Linked DNA regions of Pelodiscus sinensis. The protein of the gene in region 2 interacts with the protein of the main gene of each other region in a pairwise test. Links are inferred from orthologs where the notes say so. Each region holds a gene or a part of one and is shown on either strand. Other genes may lie near its edges.

The links.
Region 1: the proteins of E3 ubiquitin-protein ligase RNF103 (region 2) and ubiquitin-conjugating enzyme E2 E2 interact in a two-hybrid assay, tested with the Homo sapiens proteins (2 studies listed by BioGRID). The link is inferred for Pelodiscus sinensis from reciprocal best matches to the Homo sapiens genes RNF103 and UBE2E2.

What each region holds. Positions count from the first base shown.
Region 1 is NC_134712.1:189,669,027-189,672,773, reverse strand, and holds the start of ubiquitin-conjugating enzyme E2 E2, read left to right. Parts: upstream 1-1,182; 5' UTR 1,183-1,353; intron 1,354-3,747.
Region 2 is NC_134715.1:122,873,073-122,876,819, forward strand, and holds the start of E3 ubiquitin-protein ligase RNF103, read right to left. Parts: upstream 2,572-3,747; 5' UTR 2,058-2,571; coding exon 1,832-2,057; intron 1-1,831. UniProt on the Homo sapiens protein: Acts as an E2-dependent E3 ubiquitin-protein ligase, probably involved in the ER-associated protein degradation pathway.

The sequences.
Region 1 (3,747 bases), on a different chromosome or scaffold from region 2:
CCAAACCTCCCTCTAACAAAATGAAACTCTCAAGACACCATCTGACTGACCCAGGTCAGATCCTTGCATTCTGTACTCTCTCTCACGTGACATTTAAACCAGGATATACCCATTTTATCCTTGGAGCAGCCACCTTCCATTATATCTCACTCCTTTCATTTATGCACGATACTAGCCCATTGATGTCCCCTATTGCACTCACATTTCTTAAATGTAATGCCTCATGCAACTGCTTCCTTTATACATAACTCCTGCACACACCCCTATGCACCTATGTTCAATTACACATAACCTTGTTCCCAGAAATTAAGCTCCTTATATATATATCTCTCCAGGAATCCAGCTCCCTCCCACATAACCCACCCGCTCAGGTGCCGAGCTCCCCTCACACCTATCCCCCCAGGTACTGAGCTCCCCTCCCCACCTAACCCAACTGCCTGGGCACCCATCTCCCCCCCACACCTAACCCACCTGCCCTGGCACTCAGTTCCTCCCCACACCTAACCCACAAGCCTTGGCACCAGCCCCCCCCACCTAACCCACATGCCCAGGCACCTAGCTCCAATCCACACCTAACCCACGTGCTCTGGCAACACAGCTCCCCCTCCCCCCCCACATAACCCACTTGGCTGAGCACCCAGCTCCCCCCAACACACCTGCCCAGGCCACTTGGCTGAGCATCCAGCTCTCCCCAACACACCTGCCCAGGCACCCAGTTGCCCCCCCCCACCTACCCCACCTGCCCTGGCACCCAGTTCCCCCCCCACCTATCCCACCTGACCTGGCACCCGGCTCCCCCCCCACCTACCCCACCTGCCCTGGCACCCAGTTCCCCCCCCACCTACCCCACCTGCCCTGGCACCCGGCTCCCCCCCCCCACCTACCCCACCTGCCCTGGCACCCGGCTCCCCCCCCACCTACCCCACCTGCCCTGGCACCCGGCTCCCCCCCCCACCGACCCCACCAATTCCCATCCCCCCACTCCCGGGATCCTCTTGGACCCGATTCAATGGTCTCATCCCAGCGTGCCCGCCGGCGTGTCCCTTTAACGCGCGCTCCCGCCAGACCGCTGCGCCCCCGCGCCAGGCCGCTTGTCATTTTTTTTCTCCTCCCCCCGTGCGCGAGCCCGCCCCGCCCCCCGAACCCCGCGAGCTCCCGGCTCATTGGCTGTGGGGAGCGCGCGCGCGCGCGGCGCTGTCGGGTGCGCGCGGCGGCAGCTTCACTTCTCTCCGGGCAGCGGCGGCGGCAGCAGTAGCCGAGGGGGCAGCGCGCAGCCCCCACCCTTCGCCTGGCCCCAGCCGGGCCGCCCGCAGCCTGAGCCGGCGTCAGCCCCAGCCCTGAGCCCGCCCGCAGGTAACGCTCCCCGCCTCTGTCCCTCCCGCTGCTTGCCCCCCGCAGCGCCCTCCTGCCCCACCCCCTCCCCCGCCCGCCCCGCCCCTTTCCCGCCCAACCCCGGTGCCCGCCTGCCCCCTCCCGCATCAGCACCTGCCCCCTCCCCTCCCCCCTCTCCCGCATTCACCTGCCCCTCCCAGCCGCCTGCCCCATTCCTCTCCCCTTGGCCGCCACCCCCACATCCCTCTGCCCTCCCTGCTCCACTCTTCTACTTTCCTCGCTCGGCCCTCCCCTCCCCTCCCCCCATGCCGCTAGCTCCCCCCTGCCCTGTTCCTCTGCCCCCTACCAGCACCACCTGCCCCATTCCTCTTCCTCCCCATCCCTCTGGCTGCTCCAGCATCACTTGTCCCCTGACCACATCCCCTGCTCCTCTGTCCACTCCATCCTCCTTCCATAGCCCACCTTATCCCATTCTTCCGCCATAGCCTTAACCCCCTGCCCCTTCATCCATCCTCCCCAAAACATAGTCCCACCAATTCCTATGTGCTTCCCACCCTAGCTCCATCAGTCTCTGTTCTCTTATACTTACTATGTCCTCTGCCTCACCATCTGCCCATTCCTGTATTCTCCAGCTAACACTGCCTGTCCCACATCTCTTTCCCCAGCTACTTCTGTCCCACAGCTCCCCAGAACATTTGTGTCCTGTGTCATTGCTACCACATCCCCCACCCTTTGACACCCCACCACATCTCACTGCAACAGCCCCATCCATCTCCCTGCCCCCATACGCTCACCATGTCTCCCTGCCTAGCCCCATCAATTTGCCCCTCTTCCCTTTGGTACCCCACATCCTTCCTGCCTCTGTTCCTCACCCAGGGTCCTAGCAATGCCTTCTCTCAGTTTTCCTACAATACTAATTGCATCCTCCAGCAATCCCTCCTTCACTATCCCCTACAGTACTCCCCCACACAGGTAAAGACCACCTTCTTTTGCCTCTAACCATCCTTGTATCATCACCAGTAATTCTTTACCTTTTGTTCTTCTCTGCATTGTCCTTCTGTCCCCTAGAAATACCCTTCCTGCTCCTTAGGACCTTGTTCTTAAACGCCCCTTATCCTTTCTCTGCACTCATGCACAGACATGTATATGGGTCAAATAATTCCATTCCCCCATAAATCCCTTATCTCTGTTCTCACTGATATAAACATCCCCTCAAGGAGAGGGATGGGGAGAAATCCCCCTTCCAGAAATACATAAGGATGGGAATTAGAATTCCTTACTGGTATTTGCTACCTTATGCAACTACCTCTTCTACAGCAGAGATGGATAAACCACTCCACTCATGGTGACAAGAGCAAACTAATCCCGTAGCTCATCTTGCCCAACCCCCATTTCTTCCTTACATGACCTCTATGCTTTCCTTACAAATTCTTCTCCTGCTATTATCTGCTGTCCACTACTTCTCACCCTAATGCCTCTGCCCCATATCCTTTCTCTTCCATCCTCTCTTTCCACTTTCTCTGTATTACTTTGTGTGGAGGAAGAAAGGATCTGGAATGTGCAGGATAAATGTCATTTTGAAAAATGCCCATTTCAGTCCCCTGCTATCTTTTTGTACTGCTTAATTATGTTGAGTCTCTATGACATGTGCCTCTCCCTCCCACTCCAGGCAGCAGGAAAACAGGAGAAGGGGGGGTGTGTGTGTGTGTGTGTGTGTGTGTGTGTGTTGAGTCTCTATGACATGTGCCTCTCCCTCCCACTCCAGGCAGCAGGAAAACAGGAGAAGGTGTGTGTGTGTGTGTGTGTGTGTGTGTGTGTGTGTGTGTGTGTGTGTGTGTGTGTGTGTGTGTGTGTGTGTGTGTGTGTGTGTGTGTGTGTGTGTGTGTGTGTGTGTGTGTGTGTGTGTGTGTGTGTGTGTGTGTGTGTGTGTGTGTGTGTGTGTGTGTTGGTCTGGAGCTGCAGCAGCATTTTATTTTTTGGTCCCTCAAACATAGACCCTGGCCTGGGGTTGGCTATGAATTGGACTCTTCCTGCTTTTTCTCCTGTAATGTTAAGATTTTTTGTGTGTGCCCTTAATGGTTTCTAATTAAGATGGAGCGAGGTAGCTGCTCCTGCTACTGCTTTCCATGGACCCAGAAGAAAAGTTGCATTTGTCCTTTTGGTTCTAAGAAATCAAGTCAATTTAAGAGAGGCATCATCCCTGGCTCTCTTGCCCTCAGGACCTATCTGCACATTGCTGGAATCTTTTTTTTCCCTGGCTGCAGCTGTTGTTTTTTGATGGCGGGTTGATTGGGTAAATGAAATAAGTAAGTTGTCTTGAACATGTTTGGTTTCAAAATTTACAGATCGGGTTTAATATCAAGGTGTTTAAATACATCATGATTCTTTAGGGTAATACTTGTAATCCTCCTTCTG
Region 2 (3,747 bases):
CCCACAACTTTCAGCCCAATGTCTAGGATATTCAGCTGGTATGTCTGTGACCCAGTGGTTCAAGTCCCCCCCACTGGCAGTAGTGCTTGATGCCTGATCTACCACTTGCTATTCCGCTTCAGATAAGTAATTAGAGTCATTGGGCACATGACAGAGTGCACACAAGGGTGTAAACAGACATTACTGTACATAGAAGCAACATATCCACATACATATGAAACAAGCTGAATATAAAAATCAATACACGTGACTTTAAATCTTACTAAAATATGTAGAATCTGTTTGGCCCACGTAATGTTGTGCTTAGGGTTATATGGACCTCCATTGTAACAAGACTAGGTAAAACGGCAACGGGCTAAAATATATGTAGGAACACCTCTTGCCATCATTGGCCATTTTGGGAGGAGTTAGATATAATCAGAACACAACAACTGGATTGGGCCTCACAAGTGAGTTAGGTCCGGCAGAGGAGCACTTATCTTCCTCCAGATAATGAATTACACTGGGACTCAGGCACCCAGACACCTAGAGAGCAGTATCAGAGTGCATGCTCTGAGGCAGAAATATAGGCATCTAGGGAACTTTTCCTGCAAAAACTTGGGTGTTGAGTGAGTTTAGGCACCTTCAGGGTTAGGTGGCAGCTGAGTGGGACTTTTTAAGTACTAGTGGGTATCTGGGATTTTATACAACTAAACTGGCAGTTAGATGCCTAAATCCCTTTGTGAATCTAGCTCCAAAGGTCATTTGCCTTTTTAGACAGCAGGCTATTTGGCACAGGAGTTAAGTTACATAGCACATCAGAATGGAGGTCCTAACTGAGACCTTTAAGCACTATGGTAATATCAATGGTAAGTCAGTGGAGTTACACCAGGACAAGACTAACGTGACCAAAATTAGGCCCAAGACAGTGCCCTTCTAAAGGCTTAATATTTTGGCCTATATAGTTAAATTACTGAGGGCTACAGTAGCACGGAGGATGCACTGGGAGAAAAACAAATGTTTGATACCTAGAAGCAAAGCTGACAGTATATTTCCTACTGTGCAAACATAATCTAACATTCAGATTCAATCATCCCACAGCCTCTCAGAGTAACTTCCCTGAAATATTCTCTTTCCTGAAACCAAAACCTTTGTTCAAGTTTTCAAGTTTGACTGAATACAGAAGGCTGATATTTTAGATAGATGGTATAATATGCTATTCACATATATGACTTGTGTAAGAAATTTAATGTATTTCACAGTTCTACAGCTTTTGGAATAATCTCTTACATTTATCACACTAATATTTTATTATTTGGTCTACTGAGACAACTGGTTATTTATTTAAATACTTCTTGGAGAGCTGTTAACCCATAAAGGTGGACAGACACCAGGCTGGGAAAAAGATATGCGTATTGTATATAACAGTTTGACAAGACTGGAAAAGCTGAGGCTCTGTCCCTTCATCATAGACATATCATACTTTTCATAAGTAGATTTTGACTGATGTCCTTGGCCAAAGTTTCCCTCCTCACACATTAGTGTTGCACAGCATGGCCTGTGCCAGCTGGCTGCTATCCTACACCCCAGAGGGGCTACACTTCAGTGGTGCTGTAGGGTATGAACAATCTGGAAAGCACTTTAGGATCCTTCAGTACAAAAACTGCTATTAGGAATGTAAGAGTATTACTACAGAGATGATTTTGTTCCAAAATAAGCAGTTAATGTGTAAAGTTTTTTAAATCAAGTGCTCAGAGATTTTTTAACTACAGAAAAACCATTCCTAGGGGGGGAAAAAGCCAGCACATCTCTCGTTAATGGGTGAAATATCTTCTTACGTATGATCTCTTACCTGACTTCTCCACCAGCTCCCTGACATCTTTCTTTTCCGGCAGCCCAGAGTACCCAAGCCCTCTGCACTCCAAAATGGTCTTCAGCTTCTTGAAGCTCAGGGCCACGGGGTCCACCAGCTGGGTGGCAAAGAAGCCAGTTTCATACCAGACAATGGCCTCAAAAAACCTGGCCAGGACAAACAGGACCAGAAAATAGAGAAGCAAGAAAAACAGCTTCAGCCACATCTTTCCTCTCTCTATGTGACTCTCTGAAGAGAGCCAATCCTAGGGGAGAGAGAAAGAGAGAGATCCCAATGGAGGAGACGGGGGAAGGAGCGAATTATTCAGACCAATAACCCCTCTGCTGCTGCCGCCCGGATCCTCCTCCTGGCCCCGGCTCCTGGGCTCTCTCCCGGCGGCCCTGGTCCCCAGTCAGCGACGGGAGGAGGAGATTTCAGGGGGGTTGCCAAGTTGGCCGGGGAGGGGATGGGGGTGCACTCAGGCTGGGGGAGAGGCCCCCAGGTAGGCAGGGGGATGGGGAGCAGCCGGGGGACAGAAGCCCTCAAGGATGGTCTCCGCCCGGGACTGGGTAGTCAGCGGGGCGGGAGGCTGGGCCTAGCGCCTGCCTGCGGGCTCCGAGTCCCGGCCTCCCCCGCCCGGCGGCCGCCGCCTGCCTCCCGCCCCCCCTCGGAGCCCGAGCCGCCGGCGGAGACATAACAAGTGACGTCGCAACCGGGGAGAGCCAGGGGAGGGGGCAAAGGGCGCCGGGGAGGGGGAATTTCGGGTCCCGCCCCCTTCTTGTCTCCGCCCCCGGTCCCGCCCCCCCCCCCACAGCTTCAGGGAACCCCCTCCTTCCCCCGGCTCTGATCCTCTTCCTACCCCCTCGTCCCTGCTCATAGACCATTCTCCCGCGGTGGCTTGTAGAGAGCTGCTCCCTGCAAACCATCGTCCCCCGGTCGCTTGCCCGGCCCCGGACACTCATTCTGTCCCCCCAGCCCCCGTCCCTACACACTCCTCCTGTCCCCCATCTCTTCCCCGGCCACTCATCCTGCCCCTCATCACCCGTCCCTACACACTCCTCCTGTCCCCCATCTCTTCCCCGGCCACTCATCCTGCCCCTCATCACCCGTCCCTACACACTCCTCCTGTCCCCCCATCTCTTCCCCGGCCACTCATCCTGCCCCTCATCACCCGTCCCTACACACTCCTCCTGTCCCCCCATCTCTTCCCCGGCCACTCATCCTGCCCCTCATCACCCGTCCCTACACACTCCTCCTGTCCCCCATCTCTTCCCCGGCCACTCATCCTGCCCCTCATCACCCGTCCCTACACACTCCTCCTGTCCCCCCATCTCTTCCCCGGCCACTCATCCTGCCCCTCATCACCCGTCCCTACACACTCCTCCTGTCCCCCCATCTCTTCCCCGGCCACTCATCCTGCCCCTCATCACCCGTCCCTACACACTCCTCCTGTCCCCCCATCTCTTCCCCGGCCACTCATCCTGCCCCTCATCACCCGTCCCTACTCACTCCTCCTGTCCCATCTCTTCCCCGGCCACTCATCCTGCCCCTCATCACCCGTCCCTACACACTTCTCCTGTCCCCCCATCTCTTCCCTGGCCACTCATCCTGCCCCTCATCACCCGTCCCTACACACTTCTCCTGTCCCCCCATCTCTTCCCCGGCCACTCATTCTGCCCCTCATCACCCGTCCCTACACACTTCTCCTGTCCCCCCATCTCTTCCCCGGCCACTCATCCTGCCCCTCATCACCCGTCCCTACACACTCCTCCTGTCCCCCCATCTCTTCCCCGGCCACTCATCCTGCCCCTCATCACCCGTCCCTACTCACTCCTCCTGTCCCATCTCTTCCCCGGCCACTCATCCTGCCCCTCATCACCCGTCCCTACACACTTCTCCTGTCCCCCCATCTCTTC